Linked DNA regions of Notamacropus eugenii. The protein of the gene in region 2 binds, or shares a complex with, the protein of the main gene of each other region. Links are inferred from orthologs where the notes say so. Each region holds a gene or a part of one and is shown on either strand. Other genes may lie near its edges.

Region 1 (8,071 bases), on a different chromosome or scaffold from region 2:
TAAAGGACAGTTTTTGCTATTACTGCACAAGTGCATACTTAGAGAAAGTTACTTCTATTATTTGGGGGTTCACATCCTGCTCAGGCATCCAGGAGTGCTACTTTCTGATTGGCTGAGTATTGTGGTCCTGAGATTAAATGGATGTGGTTGTGGTTGAGTGCATGAACATACCTGTTTCTGTGAAGAGAATTCATGAGGAATGGGTCTGAGAGCAGTGGCTAACTGGAGGCAGTGGCTGGGATCCCATCACAATCGACATGCCTGCTATTTCTGTGAGAAATATGAGTTCATGGACACACCTGTAGTTCTGGTGAGGAAGTGAGGCGTATGTGAGGAAGTTAGAATGTTGGGGGGAGGGGGGCAGTGGCTAACTAGGGGCAGTGGACCTGCTGTTCAGTGGGACCTGTGATTGAGTCCGAGATTCTCTAGTATGGTTAAAGCTAAATTATGTGGTCAAATCAGGGCATGCCTGCTGTTCAGTGGGACCCATAAGGAAGTCAGACTTGGGGCTGGGGGCAGCTTTCTGAGGATTCCATCAGTACTGATATTTTCTCAGTCACCTGTGTTGGTAAAAAATGCCTGTGATTTTTTTAAAGCATTTATCATCTTTTCCTCATTCAGATATCTTGATATCTGATTACTCGATGCTCTCAAAATTGTGTTGCCTCAAGCAAAGACTACCTTCATCAAAACTTCATCTGCTCCACTTATTCCTACCGTCTCTATTTCCTTTAGCACCATTACTACTTGGATAATGCAACAGAAATTGCAAACTAGAATTAAAGTCATAAGTCTGGAGTTCAAATCCTGCTACTTTTACTGATTGTTTTTATGATCTTGAGCAAGTTACTTAACCTTCCTGGGTCTCATTTTCTTCATCTATAAAATGATAGGGGAGAGGATAGACTAGATGACCTCTAATATTTTTTTGACCTCTAAACCAATATTATGATGTAGTATACTTAGGGATATAGTAGTATAGTGATGTATTAGGAACTGTTAAAAGCTCAAAAGTAAGAGCACTGCTATTATAAACAGGGAAAGCAATTTCTTATGGAGATCTTTATAGAATTTTCCCATTTTCTTAATTTATTTTCCTCTCAGCTATTAAACTTATTCACATTTAGGTATAAACAACTGACAAAATTCATTAACTTTATCCAGTATTTGTATTTTTGAGAAATGAAGAATTTGGTTGAACAAATTTTAGTATACAAGTAAATAGAACATTACTGCTCCATAAAGAATAAACAATGTGATAAATTCAAAGACTCATAGGATCTAAGTCATAGATCTGAAATATGAAGGCACCTTCCCAGTAATCTACTCCAATCTCCTCATTTTACACCAGTTTTTCCCATTCCCCCTCCCCAAAGCTTCCCTTTTTCCAAGTCCTTGAAAAAATTGTCTGAACTCTGCCTCTACCCTCTCCTCTTAATCACTCCTCAACCCCTGGAGGTTAGGTTCCAATCTCATCACTTAGCTGAAACTGTTCCTCCATGGTTACCAAAGACCTCTTAATTGCAAATCTGATGTTCTTTTCTCAATCCTAACCCTAAATGTAAACACATTTGACATTTTTGACCACCTTCTCCTCCTTAATACTCTAAATGTTAGGGATTTTCATGACACTTACTCTTTCTTCCCTGGTTCTCCTCCCTCCCACCTATCTGACAAGTCTTCCATCTCATTTGTTTGTCTATCAATCACATCATGCCTTCTATCATTGTGCCCCATGGTTCCATCGTCGTTTTTATTCTCCCTCTTTATTCTCTCTCTCTCTCTCTCTCTCTCTCTCTCTCTCTCTCTCTCTCTCTCTCTCTCTTTCCCTCTCTTTCCCTCTCTCTCTCTCTTCTCTCTCCCTCTCCCTCCCCCTCTCTCTTTTCCTCTTTCTCTCTCTCCCTCTCCCTCCCTCTCTCTCCCTCTTTCCTTCTCTCTCTCTCCCTCTTTCCTTCTCTCTCTCTCCCTCTCTCTCTCTGTCTCTTTGGCAAACTCATCATCTCACCTGGTCTTAACTATCATCTCTATGCAGATGACTCTTAGGTCTGCATATCTAGTCCCAGTCTCTCCTTAGCTTCACTCTTGCCTCAACAACTGCCAACTGGCTATTTCAAACTGGATGTCCCAAGGACACCTTAAATTCAACATGTACAAAACTGAATTCATTATCTTGCCCCACTAAACTCTGCTCTCTTCTAAATTTCTCTGTTTCTATCAAAGGTATTACCATCCTTTCCAGTCTCCAGTTCATAATGGGCACTATCTTGGACCTTTCACAGCCTCTCACCCCACATATCCAATCAGTTATCAAATCTATTTTTATTTTTTTTCTAACAAGCATTTATTTTTGCCTTTCCTCCCCCTTTGAGAATTAACCACAAGAACAAAAGTCTAACAGATATGCATGAGCAAAGCAAATTCTCACATCAATCATACCCAAAACTCTATGTTTCTCTCTACATTGTGAGTCCGTTACTACTCTGCCAGGAGGTAGGTAGCACCTGGGTTTGTCATGGCATGGATCAGAGTTCTAATTCTTTTCGAAATTGTTTTGTTTTGCTTTTCACATTGTGGTTACTTCAGAAATTGTTCTCCTGATCCTGCTCACTACCCTCTGTATCAGTTCACACAGATCTTCCCAGACTTCTTTGAAATCATCCACATTATCATTTCTTAATGAGCAATAATATTCCATTTCAATAACCAAATCTTGTTATTTTTACCTCTATTACATTTCTTATCTCCAATCCCATCTTTCTACTACATAACAACTGCCTTACTCCAGGTCCTCATCACTTCTCACCTAGATTACTACAAGAGGCTTCTACTTTGTTTCCCTAAGCTGTATGCTGGGGATACAAACAGAAAGAATGAAGTAATGCCCAACTTGCATTCCGATGGCAGAGACAACAAGTCCATATATATACATAAGCATATGCAGCATAAATTTGAAGAGAATAAATACAAAGTTGTTAAATACCAGGTAGTTTGAGTGGAAGGGCACTAGCATTCGGTTGATTCAAGCAAAAGATGGTACTTGATCTGTGTCTTTAAGAAAGGATCTCTATGAAAAAGAAGTAAGAGTCACTGTGAAACCCAGATGTGAGACAGTGTCAAGGCATAGTAGATGGAGAGTCGTATGTGAGGAATAAAGAGGCTAGTTTGGCTAAATTTTAAAGTGAGGGGTGGAGAATAACATCTAATTGGAATGATAGATTGAGGTCAGGTTGCCTAGGCCTTTAAAAATTACACTCCTTTTAATTGGTTGGTTGGTTAATTGACTGGTTGATTGACTGGGTGCCAGACTGGTTACAGGATTTGTTTAATGCCACACCGGTAAGAAGTAGAGGAGGTGGGATTGGAATTCAAATCCTCTGACTTCAATACTAATGCATTCTCCAGTGCACTACCTTACCTCCCAAATAGGAAATACAAGAGAAGATTGTATTGTGATATAGTGAACACAACAGACCTGAAGTGAATATAAAAAAAAAACTGACTTTAATTATGTAAATTAAGTCAACTTTGAGAAGCAATAAAATTCAGATCAATCAATCAATAAGTAGTTATTAAGTGTCTTTTATATACCAGGCACTATGCTAAGCACTTTGATCAGTGAGTTGGACAGGACTGGTACTAACTTGGAAACTTTTTTTTTAAAAGAAAGCACATAAAATGTAAAGTTGAGAAACATTTAATTGCTTATTATGTGCCAGGCACTGGCACTTAGCAAAGTCCCTGGAATACAGCAGGTGCTTAATATAGAAGGAAAAGGAGTAAGCATTTATAAAGTGCCTACTGTGTACCAGGTACTGTGCTAAGTGCTTTACAAATAGTATCTAATTTGGTCCTCACAACAACGCAGGCAGGTAGGCACTGTTAATATCCCCATATGATAGGTAGGGTTACTCTGTAACAAACAGAGCAAGTGGCTTGCCCAGGGTCACATAATCGGTATCTAAGATCGTATTTGAGCTGGGGCCTCCCTAGCCCCAAATGTAAATTGACTAACTGTCCGGGATACAAAGAAAGCCACAGACACCGTACCAGACCTCGGGAAACTGACACTCTCATCGAGGAAACAAGGATTAAAAAAATGTACGTATATATGTAACAGACAGGCCACGTGACTAAAAGGTAATCTCAGTCGGGTGAGAGGAGGGTAGGGGGTAGGGGATGGGTGGGAAAAGTACCCCCTGGGCTTTTAGCTGAATCTAGAAGGAAGCCAGGAGGGCCAGGGGCCCTCCCTCAGGGATCGTTTGTTTCCCTGTTCTATGTACATTGTAACAATGCTGAGGATACAAAGGTTTGGCACGCTTGGAAGAAATAACGTCGGTCCCCAAAGCGTGCGTAAAAAACAAATTACTTGTAATTACGTAACAAAGAAATAGATAACAAACGCTTGCCAAATGAAAATTAAAACAATTTTTAAAGGAGTTTTTTTAAGGAAGTCCTAAAAGGGATATGGAAATCACTCCCAACCTCCCACCCTGTGTGCTCTGCCTAGGCATACGACGTTTTTTTTTTTCTTTCCAAAAAAAACAACGAAACTGAACTGGAAAAGTGGTCAAGCGGGCCGCGGCTGCAGCCTCGGCCCCGGGCTGCGCGGCGTCCGGGCGGGGTTTGCACAGAGGGGAGGGGCAGGCGGGGGAGGGGCAGGCGGAGGAAGGGCCGCGCGGGGGCGGGCTGGGCTGGGGGCGGGGCCGGGCTGGGCTGGGGGCGGGGTCGGGGCGGGGGCCGGCCTGGGGGCGGGGCCGGCCTGGGGGCGGGGCCGGCCTGGGGGCGGGGCCGGCCTGGGGGCGGGGTCGGGCTGGGGGCGGGGTCGGGCTGGGGGCGGGGCCCAGCGAGGAGCTATTTAGATCCAGCCTGGCCAGGCCACGGGAGGCGCGTCCCCCAGCAGAGATTTCAGCTACGTTCTCCTCGCGGCGCACTCCCAGGAGCTACGATGGCCGGTCCCCGCTCCTTCCTGCTGCTGCCTCTGCTGCTGCTGGCCCTGGCCTTCGCCGTCCAAGCCGAGCGCCTGCCCCGCCTCCTGGGCGGCCTCATGGAGGCCAACGAGAACGAGGAGGGCGTGCAAAAAGCGCTCGGCTTCGCCCTGAGAGAATTCAACAAGGCCAGCAACGACATGTACCACAGCCGAGTGTCCAGGGTGGTGCGAGTCAGGAAACAGGTCTGTGCGGAGCCCTTCTCCCCTTCCCGGGCCCCGTCATCCCGAGGCAGGGCCTGGAGCCGCACCCTCCGCCGGGACTCCCAGGCTGGGGGCGGCTCCAGCGGCGGCATCCCGCCCCGCTGTTCTGGAAGCCACCCCAGGCGCCCTCCTCTGCCCCAGCTGGTGGTTGGTTGGGCCCCTCCCCTGTGATCCCGGGGGGGGGGGGGAATCTGAGCGCGGGGGTGGGAGGGGCTTGGCAAGAGACCCTCATTTGGGATTGTGAATTTTAAATATGTGTGTCTGAGTGTGGTTTTAATTATGCATTTCTTTGTGTATGTAGATATATATATAGGTGTGCACATATGTATATATGTGCATGTGCTGTGTGTACAAATGAGTGCATATGCAACGTATGCTTATCTTTGTGCATAAATATACATATGTGTCTAGAGATATACACAGATATATTCTTAAGGTCAGGGACTGTATCGTTGTTTCTCTTGACCCAATTAACTAAAATGTATTAAATGCCTACCATATATGCCAAGCACTGCGCTAAGTTCCAGTGGCTAGCACGCAGGAGGCACTTCATATATATTTCTGGACTTCATGTAAATGCAGCTTTACGCTTTAGTCACTTTCTGTTTGTTAAAAGGAGAGAGGGGCATATGCTTTTTTTTGTTAGTACCAACCCTGTCCACCTTGTTCATCTCGGTGCCTAGCGAGGTGTTTGGTATATAGTACCTAAAACATATATATGCATTTAAAAACATTTTTCTGAGAAGGGGTCTGTAGGCTTCAGCAGACTGCCCAAAGGATCCTTAAAACATCCGGAAATGATTAAGGAACCGTGATTTAGGAGGTGAATTGTCCTCTGTTGGGCAAATAGAAACAAATGCTTTCTCTCTCTCCTACCTAACCAGGCTTTTCTGCACTGTCACTTGGATTAAAAAGGGGAACGGGAAGTTTGCATTGGATGAATTCAGGAAGTAGAAGACCCAGTGTGCTTTCTCCTTTGCAGTTCAGTGTGAGGGATGCTGTACCCCGCACCACAGGGATTTACCGGGAGTATTTATTCTTTGGCTGTAATGCATTCTTCTTCATCCCCCAGGCTGTGATGGGAGCCAAGTTTGTGACTAACGTACCAAGTAACTTTGCACTGTGAGTTTGGGGAGTCTGAATACAGGAAAATGGAGTTGATGGCAGTTCTTCTTGGGACTAACCTACACCCTGTTCTTGTGGATACAAGTCCAGTAGTGAATAGAATAGCTCTTGGTCAGCAAGGCAGTTGGGGTGTTAACTAGTATCTTGACTTTTTAATCTTTGTTTTTTTAAAGTTCAGAGGAGAACCCAAACTGGCTGTTCTGTGGCACCTACTATCTCTGTAATTTTTTTTTCTTCTACCAAACAATTGTGAATCAATCATTTTTATCTTTGAGCTTTTCTGTTTTTTCAGGTAGTAATAAAGACTAGAAGGACGTAATTGAGCTGTCTTACTTAACACCTGCATGACATTAGGCAAATCAGTTAACTTGCGGCTCTCAATTTTATCTTTATCTTTTTATCTTTAAAATTAGAAAAATGGAATAGGTAACTTTTAAGGTTCTTTCAGTTTCTGAATATAAATTATCCCTGGCCCATTCTCTTCCCTATAATACCCAAGAACACATTAGGTCAGAAAAATGCCTCATTGTCTAATGGCCGAAATTCACCTCTGGCAAATGATACTCTAATGAAAGACCCGTTTGTCAGATATCATTAGTCTGAGGTGGTCCATTTTTCTGTATTTAGGTTTTGGGATTGTTTTAGCTCACAGGCTAGGAATCCTCAGTCGATTGGACATTTGAAGAGTATATTTTTTAAAAAGTCAAACTTTATTTATTTATTCTTTCTTTTGTTTTCCTCTCAAATGTTATTCTGCTCCGTATTTCTGAAAAACTGGTTGGATGTTGGATAGGTCTGGGGTTGCCTAATAATGGCCTTTAGGGTCAAGCCTGGTTGGTGTTTCGCATATGTGTTTGTGTAAGAGAAATTACTTAAGATCCCGCTTATCATGACATTGTTTTGAGGGATTGTTGTGACACAGAATTTTAGACTTGAAGCTTCAAACTTTCAATTTCTCTGGGTTTTTGAGGGTTGTGGGAAAGGTTACCCAGTCTGTTCTGCCTTAGAAAATGTCCACACAATTGGTGTCTTTTCCTGTACCCATCTGAAAAGGAGAAAATGTCTTGGGCCATGCATGCATCACTTGAACTAAGCCTGGTGGTAAGGTTTATTGTGATTGTGTCTTAATCCTGAAAGTAATTTCTAGGTCTGTCATTTTTCTAAGATGCTATAAGTTTCTATTAGGAAGCCAGAATCCTGATCTAGTTGTAGGTTACTACATTTGTATGACATTTTGAGATTTCCAAAGCACTTTGCATACATTATCTCATTTGAACACATTTAACATTTATAGAATCACAGAATCTTAGGCATGTAAGGGACCAAAGAAGTAGCTTAGTCCAATCTCTTTCTGAACAAGACTCTATGCTATAGCATCCTTGATCATGAGTGAATGAAATATCGTTTATTGGCCTGCTATGTGCCAAGGATTTTACTATAGGAGTTTTACAACCCAGTGGATAGGATTGGGTGTTTTGATCTGGGGGAGTCACAAGAATGGGAAGGAGCCATGGGATGTTTCACAATAAGCTGTGTTGGAATGAGGAAAAATCTGGGGACAGTGCTAGAGCTAGTCTGGAGGAGCAGGATAGATAGATGCTAAGTATGTTCTGGGGCTAGCTAGATAGGATGGGTTACCAGAGTTTCCATTCTCTCACTTACAGGAACACATCATCTAACACCCACTTAACATATCAGAACAGCTTAACCAAAGGCAGAAGTTCTAAAGCCCAGTGAATTTATTCTGCAGTCTACAGA
Region 2 (8,331 bases):
AAAAGCTGACTGATGGCAATATTTGTTTGAAGAATCCCAAAGTAAAAAATTAAAAGGCAAGTCTTTGGTTAAATACAAAACAAAACATTCACAGTAGCACTCTGTGGTGGCAAAAAACAAAACAAAACTGGAAACAAAGAAGGTGCTTATTGATTAAGGGATAGAATAAGAATTTGTATTATGTAAATGTAATAAGCCAGTACTGTACCAAAATAAATCATGAATATGAGGAATTCATAGTTACATGGGAAGACTTGTAAGAACTGATGCAAAACAAGGAAAGCAGAACCAAGAAAATAATATATACAGTGACTATACACAACATACACAATGTAAATGAAAACAACACAACTCAAATTAATTACAGTGAACAACCTGGGATCCAGAGAACAGAAAAGTTAACATATATGCCCCTGCTCTTAGTAGAAAAATGGGTGCTGTGGGTACAGGATTCAGGAGCATCCGTTATCAGACATGGTTGTCAGGCATGCTCATTTCCTCAGTGGAGGAAAGGAAATCTATCTGAAAATGACTATGATGTGCAATAAAAATTCTAAAAGGCATATTTTTTTTAATGGAAAAAACCTTAAGATGAGTCTGGCTCCTGTTGCCAGGTTGAGACTTAACCCTTACATAGGAAATTGAAACTAGGGGATAAGACAGACTTACCATGTCTCCTAAATGGTTCATAGCCAGTTCAAACGTGTGAAGACCAAGAGAGAATTCCAGGTTGTGGGTGGAAATATATTTCAGGTTCTTTTCCCAAATCAGACGTCGAGAGATTTCATCCACCTAAGTAGAGCAGGGGTAACAGTGACTCTGACTGAACATCCTTTGTAGACTACACTAAGTATAGACCTATACTAAATGTTGTCAGGGAGTCAGAAGGAAGATGCCAGATACTCCCATGCTCTAAGAGAGGACAATGTGAGGAAACTAAACATATGTGCATAAAAAAAAAATTTAAGAGTACTTAGAAATTAGTATATAAAGAAATGCCAAATATTATAATCATATTAAGTCCATAAGTCCTGGGATGATATCAACCAAGGGAGTACACAGACCTGGCATGGGTTATTCTGGGGAGTCTTATAGAAGAAAGGTTAGAAAGGCTACAAGGAACAGGGAATTAAGGTTGGGTAACAAGTTGGGGTAAGGCTTGGAGGTCAGAGGGGGGAAGTATGAGTAAAGAACAGGGGAGATTTGCTTCAAGTGGGAAATTTATATTGAATTTATAATGATTTATATTTCAGGGAGGGTCTAGTACTTAAAAGAATGTTACAGGATAGAAGAAGCTTTGACCCCTCAAATACTTCCAATCGTCACAACTCAGGCCTCCCTCCAGGTCCCCACATACCTTGCTGTTATATTCTTTTCCATAGGATTTCTTCCACAACTTCCACTGTGTATCTAACATCTCCTCTGGGTACAAAGCAGAACTCACCACTGATGGCAGCAACAATAACAGGATGCTGAACCCCCACATCCTGAGGGAAGAAATACTGTCCAGATTCTGGATGTGCAAGGGGTATATATGAAAACTGCATTCAAATTCCAAATCAAGAATAATGGGGGTGGGGAGAAACTGTCATTTTGGGAAGGGAGACAGAGTGCTGAGAATGGTTTATGACCAAAGAATAAGAGTCAGGGACCCAGCTCTGGGTAAAATCTAAACATTACAGAAACACATTGCTTTTCTTGTCTGATTCCTTGACTCCTCCCAGTGTACTTTATCCTGGCAAAACATCACCCAAACACACACAATAGAGAAACAAAATAAATATATATATTGAGATGTGTCTAAGGCAGGGCGATTAGTCCTTTGCACCAACGTATAAAATTTAGAGGGCACGGCTAGTATTTGTAATTTTTCAGCAGTTTAGTGAAATTAGAAAGAAAATAGTTAATTAAAATAAGAAAGCTACCAGATGGTGGGCTAAAGAGTATTCCAAAGTTTCTATCTGCTCACCCTCCCACATACATCCATTCCTTTCAACTGAGCACTCACTTTGTACTGTTTGCCTTTGAGTTGTCTTCAGTGCAAAGGTTTCTTCTAGCTCTACATATGTGGAAGGGAAAATTAAAAATGATCTGATTAATATCTTCTCCCTCTCCCTCCAGTATGCCCAGCAAGCCCAGAGGAGATGATAAGGAAAAGGGAATGGCCAAGATCAAATTAGAATTTTAATAGACACCAAGTGGAGGTTTTGACCTGATCAGTGAATCTCCTTAGACTCTGACCTACTTTTCTTTCAAAAGAACCCATTCCTAAATTCTTAGATATAGAATGGACTGCTGAGCCAAAATTTGCTAATTGGAAGGATTTTCCTCCCTGTCCCAATCTCTCTTGCTTTCTCTGCTTCCCATTCTCCTTACTTATTTCTATCTCCCTTTCCCTAACCCTTCTCCAAAATCCTCCCCTCTCCTCTACTCCCAACTCTACTGTAGTTTTTTTTTCCTCCTCCTTTTTCAGGAAACTGCTCTAATATCAACCAGCTGCTGTGGTCAGAAAGATTTCCCTTTCTTTTCCACTGTCAGAAGCCCAGTTTCTACATCCCAAGAAAATCAAGCATGAGCAGCCCCTGAAGGTCAAGTACTCAGTCCCACCCTGATCTGTGGGACTGTGTTATAAAGCCTCCTTCACAAAAGCAGCTATGCAGAATAACATGCCACATGACATCCTAGGTACTAACAATTTTGAGTAAGCTTAGGCTACTGAGGGCCATTTTGACCATGTCTTCAGTCCTTTTCATGATTGTACCGGAAGGGCCAGGGCTGAGAGACCCTCTATACAACCCCAGCCATGTCAAATATTAGCAGTTACCATGCTGGGAGGCCCAGAAATCTTAGAAAGATGGGATAGCTTTAACACTCTCCCCTCCACTTGGGTGTTGTAGTATAAGGATCCCTAGATCTAAACTCTCTTAATCCTTCCTCTCCCTATCCTCTTTTGAAATCAGGCAAACAACTACAAGCAGAGCCTTGGGGGAATTCGAGTGGGTGGGAGGCCCCTAACCCTTCTGCCCTCCTCAGAGTTTTAGGACAAAGTCCACTCACAAGATACATTGCAGATTTCCAAAGAAGAAATATCTATGTGGCAACAAAATTATCCCTAGAAGTCACTTCACCCATGTCGTAGTATCCCCTGATTTTCCTAAAGAAATCCACAGGCAGGGATGAGGAGCGGAAGGGCAGGGGAAGGGTAAAGGAAAAGCGCAGCTTTACCTGATGATGGTCTGTCCTCTAGTCTGGAGAGGAAGGCACAGGCACGTATCTGGGGGGATGATTATGGATGCTAGTTTTATTCCAAAAAGTTTGAGGAAGTCAGTTCCAGCAGTCGGCTGGAAAATCTGGACTGTCAGGCTGGGAAGTGGCCAGGAGGAAGAGGGGGGAGAGGGGCAGAGTGGAAGGAAACCAAAAGAGAGAAGGGAAGGAGGAGAACAGATTTGCATATCAACAGGGAAGAGTTGCTGGGTGTTATTTCACATGACTTTGTGGCACACAGAAAACTCGTCTTGGAAGCTGGGCTATTCAGCCTCAACACAGGATCCTCCCAAGCTTTATCTTCTCTATCTTCTGGCTGAGAAGGGTACTGGCTGTGGGAGGCTAGTTTTGCCTCCCTAGTCCCACCAGACTGACTTTTCACACGTACTAAATACCTACCGTTTGGGGTACTGTTTACTTTAAAACACACACACACACACACACAAGAGCAATGTTTCTTTTAGTCTGTAAGATTAGCAATGTCTTAGGTCACTGAAATTCTCAGCAGATGACCTTCACTCCTATTTTAGAGACCATTCTCTCTCCTAACCCTGGATGTCGAAACTTCTTTTTCTTCAAATCTATTTTTCCTTCAAGTCTCTCAGAAGAACTAATGCACCTGAATAAAAGTAACCCACTACACCACCTGTGGTGTTCATCATATGTTCTTGTGGACCCTGAGAGAACTTATTGGGGAAGAGTACCATTGAAAACCAAATTGTAGACCTACTTCTGCCCCTAAGTAGCAGTTTGGTCTTACATAAAAGATTTCACTTTTCTGGGTAGGTGTGTGTGTGTGTGTGTGTGTGTGTGTGTGTGTGTGTGTCTGTGTGTGTGTGTCTGTGTGTGTCTGTGTGTGTCTGTGTGTGTCTATGTACACAAAATGAGGTGATTGAACAAAACAATTTATAAGGTCTATAAGTCTAAGCTCTTCTCTAACTTCAGTCATTTCTTCTCCATTAATTATTTATATCCACTTTAAAAGGACAGCTTGGTGGTGAAATGGATGGGGTGCCAGATAGACTCATCTTTCTGGGTTCAAATCTGGCCTCAGACTCTTACTAGCTGTGTGACACTGGGCAAGTCACTGTTTGCCTCAGTTCCTCATCAGTCAAATAAGCTGGCAAACCATTCCACTAACTTTTTCAAGAAAACCCCAAATGGAGTCACAAAGAATCAGATACAACCGAAGTGACTCAATAAATAAATCCACCTAAAAAGGTCTTCCCTATCCTAAGAAAGAATCTTGATTTTCACCCTGATGAAGACTTCAAGGCACTGTGCTCTCTTCTTCCTTTCACTGCCAAATTTCCTGAAGGAGTGGTCTACACTTACTTCTCTACCCTTGGCAGTCTGCCTTCTGTTTCTAACTTTACTTCACTGTGCTCTCTCAAGATCATCATACAATAATCATCCCTCTTTACCTAAAGAATTTAACAGTTACACCAATGAAAAAACAAGCACTTCCTCCTTCCCTGGCTGCTTAATTCTGCTTACATCTGGTACTCTTGTCTGACCACTGTGTGTCTATGTATATATGTTTATGTATGTATATGTGTGTATATATATACACACATATGGTCTGTATGTTCACATATAGGTATGTGTGTACACACATATATTTAAATAAGTACATACCCATGTGTGAATGTATGTACATGTATGAATGTAGTTATATATGTGCCCCATTAGAACATGAGCTTAAGTAGGGATGGTCCTTCGCTTTTTTGTTTGTATCCCTAACAGTTAGTAGTGTTTACCACATAGTAGGCATGTAAATGGCTTATGACTGGTTATTTTTTTTATGTATGTGTGTGAATGTAAGGTCTTTGAGGTAATTTTTGCCTTGTACCTGTTAAGCAGGACTTGGCACATTGTAGATGCTTAATAAATGCTTGTCGATGGACTGACATCTCTTTCTACTAGATTAAAAGCTTAAAGACATCTAATCTTTTTCTTTTCCCCAGCACCTTGTATATTGCAGATCCTCCCAAGAACTTGAATCACGAAAAATCATGTTCAAAACGTGCCCCAGACTTTGTGTTTTACCTAAAGCAAATAGTTCTCTCTCAACCCTAGTCCCACCAAACTCTCAGCCCATTTCTTCATCAGTAAAATAGGGATATTACATACCTCAATCAAAGGACTATTATAAGAATCAAACAATATTATGTATAAAAGTGCTTTGTAAACCTTAAAACACCCCATGAATGTTATAAATTCTAGTTTATCATTCATCTTATGGATTTAAATGTGTTTGGTACAAGGCTGTTATCAGGGTAGCAAATTCCTCCCAGGGATGCACATCAGGAACTCCTCTGGAACTGGCTTGTGGCCATTTGGTTAGTACGTGACAGAATCAGAAGGTGAACCATTGTAATCTTCTTGATTCCAAGGTCAGCCCCTCAATCCATTTTGTCAAATTCTTACAAATTCAAAATTCAGCCACTTTATGGAGTGAGGTAACCAAACTTCCTGCCTCTTGTAAGTTATTCACCAGGTCAGTATGTCTCTACCTCTCCGACCCCATTCAAGATAGTATCTTTCCTATATAGAGGAACCTTTTTCTCAAGGAAAAGAAATGATTCATGACATAGGAGACTGTTCAGCTACAAAATAATTGAATTAGAAATAGCAATTCCAATAATGACAACACATAAATCAATGCCAGAAGCATTGAGACCACGGGGAAGGTTGAAGGGATTTCCCTTTTCTTAAGTGTTGAATGGTAGGAATGGGTATTGTCTGATGATTATTACATGCCAGTCATATGAGCCCTTCTAGACCATCCTCCCCCTTCCCAGCATGTGACAGATCACAAGAGTCTGCCTCAGCCCCAACCCCCCCCTTCCCCCCCCTCCCCCAGTAAACAGATGACATGGGAGAAGGAAAAAGGATGATTCCAGCAAGATAAACACATTTGGTTTCTTTTCCCCAACACAGCTGGATTCTAGCCCTAGATTTCCCTGCAGTTCAAGCTCAAATTAGTCTAGTTTCTTCAGCCCATGCTACAGAAGACAGTCCCAGAAGGAAACCAAGAACAAGCAGAAACAGCCTGTCTCCCAATACTTAATTTTTTTCCATCAGAGAATAAAGATATTTGGGGTCAGAGTCTAGTAGAGATAACTTTTTCCTGCAGGGTTTAGAGCTCTCTCTTCCTTGGAACTCTGCTATATATATAGGCGTCCTCTCTTCCCATCCCCTTCCATTTCTTGAAAGTAGCAACATCAAAGGGCCAGTAAAAAAGCAGATGAATGATCAGAGCTCTGATTTGAGGTTTGTTTTTTTTTAAATACAGATTATATAAGCATCTCATTTAGGGAATAGTTGTTTCTTATCTTTGGTGTCTTAGTATGTGTATTTTTTGGTGGAGCTAACCTGTGCTCTGTGTCACACAGCACATTTTTGTCTTTCTGTCTGTGTATACCTTGGCAGGAAGCATTAAGCAAGAAACCTGGGCAGGGATGGTGCGGTCACAATCAAGACTAAAACACACAAGGATTTTTAAAAAGGAAAAATATCTTTGCTTTAAAATCTCTGCTACATAATGACATCATTTGTGCCACCATGAGACTTGACATAGGTGCCAAGTAACAAAGAATGGCCAACAAGAAAAATAAACACAACTGAAAATAAAACCCTGAAGGAAGAGTAGGAACAAAACCCCCCAGAGTTTTTTTCCCTCCCTCCCAAAACCCTACAATAACTGTACAATATTATAGTCCTAATCACATTTAAAAATAATTGATTATCAAAAGACAGATTCAAATGGAAACTCAACTTTTTGGCTTCTTAAATTGTGATATAAATATAATATATATATAATATATATAATGTATGTATGCTGTGTGTGTGTGCACATAGATTTTTAAAAAATAAAATATCTCCTTCTCCCTGTCTTTTTGCTATCTGGTACCAGGGTGAAGGGAAGGGGAGAGGAGAGGCCAAATCAATATGACATTGCCCCCCTTCCTCCCCAAGGTCATCTGTTTTCAAGACACCTACAACTACATTAAAAACATCTTGCCCTTAATAACTCAGCCTTGTAATTAAAAACTGGCCTGAGGCAATAGGAAAAAAACACTGTTGTCACTTCACTGTGACCTAAGGCTCAAATGCCATAATAGTAGCCTATATCCTCAACCAGAGGGCTACACTAATTGTTAAGAAGCCCTGTTTGATATGGGTTCCTACCCATCTGCCACATAGTATTATTATATTTATACCCACTTGCCACTCCCTACTCCCAGCAAAAATTTTTGAGACCCAACTTGACTCTAAAGACTAGGCAGAAAACAAGGTGTAGCATCATAAACCCTTTTTTCATCTGTGTGCTAGTAACAAGGAAAAATGTCTTCTTTTTTCTATTTAGGTCTGCTTGTTTAGAGAATGGGGATTGAAAAAAACTTATTTTTGAGATGAAGTTGGTATCGAGGTGCACAGCCCAGTATAAGGGCCTCTTGCTGGGGCTCTCAAACCAAGAAGTTGAGTTTCCATGGGGTTATTTTCTCCACAGTGCTTGTACAGTGTATAATTCTGACAGAAAATGCATTGTAGTCCTTGTGGCCATGAGTCTAGGGTTTCTTAAAAAAGTTAGCACCTGAGCCCACTTTCCATAATATCTTGAAGTTCCCTCCAAGTGAGGAGCACTGTCAACAGTGAAAGTGACCCAATTTTATCACTGATGATGTTCAATGAGAAGGTGCCCGCACAAAATAGTCCTACACAACTGCTCACACTGGCTGGGCATAGATGTGAACACAGCAAAGAAGTTAATCTAAATATACTTTGGCTGCAATGTGGAGCAGAAAATACCTGGAATTAACACTTTAGGACTTATTTGGAAACACACACGCGCACGCACACACGCACACACACACGCACGCACACACACGCATGCAGAGTCAGGACTAGAGTATGCATAGTCCCCCTGCCACAGAAGAAACAGACAGACATACACATGCATGCACAGACAGATAGACACACACACACTCTCTCACACTCACTCTCTTTCTCTCTCTCTTTCTCTCTCTCTGTCTCACAAGTTTCTTTCTAGAAGAATTACTC

The links.
Region 1: the proteins of CTSK (region 2) and CST3 are in contact, whole or in part, in a crystal structure (PDB 8V57), measured with the Mus musculus proteins. The link is inferred for Notamacropus eugenii from reciprocal best matches to the Homo sapiens genes CTSK and CST3. Residues at the interface, in NP_031828.2 of Mus musculus: Asn132, Gln133, Gly134, Gln135, Cys136, Gly137, Cys139, Trp140, Glu173, Asn174, Tyr175, Cys177, Gly178, Gly179, Gly180, Tyr181, Met182, Ser248, Ala251, Ser252, Gln257, Phe258, Val274, Asn275, His276, Ala277, Ser297, Trp298, Ser301, Trp302; in NP_034106.2 of Mus musculus: Pro27, Arg28, Met29, Leu30, Gly31, Ala32, Pro33, Gln75, Leu76, Val77, Ala78, Val80, Asn81, Tyr122, Pro125, Trp126, Lys127, Thr133.

What each region holds. Positions count from the first base shown.
Region 1 is NC_092872.1:600,093,412-600,101,482, reverse strand, and holds the start of CST3 (cystatin-C), read left to right. Parts: upstream 1-4,799; 5' UTR 4,800-4,945; coding exon 4,946-5,170; intron 5,171-8,071. UniProt on the Homo sapiens protein: As an inhibitor of cysteine proteinases, this protein is thought to serve an important physiological role as a local regulator of this enzyme activity.
Region 2 is NC_092873.1:304,709,083-304,717,413, forward strand, and holds the start of CTSK (cathepsin K), read right to left. Parts: upstream 3,497-8,331; 5' UTR 3,453-3,496; coding exon 3,226-3,452; intron 2,060-3,225; coding exon 2,009-2,059; intron 1,488-2,008; coding exon 1,358-1,487; intron 793-1,357; coding exon 670-792; intron 1-669. UniProt on the Homo sapiens protein: Thiol protease involved in osteoclastic bone resorption and may participate partially in the disorder of bone remodeling. Displays potent endoprotease activity against fibrinogen at acid pH. May play an important role in extracellular matrix degradation.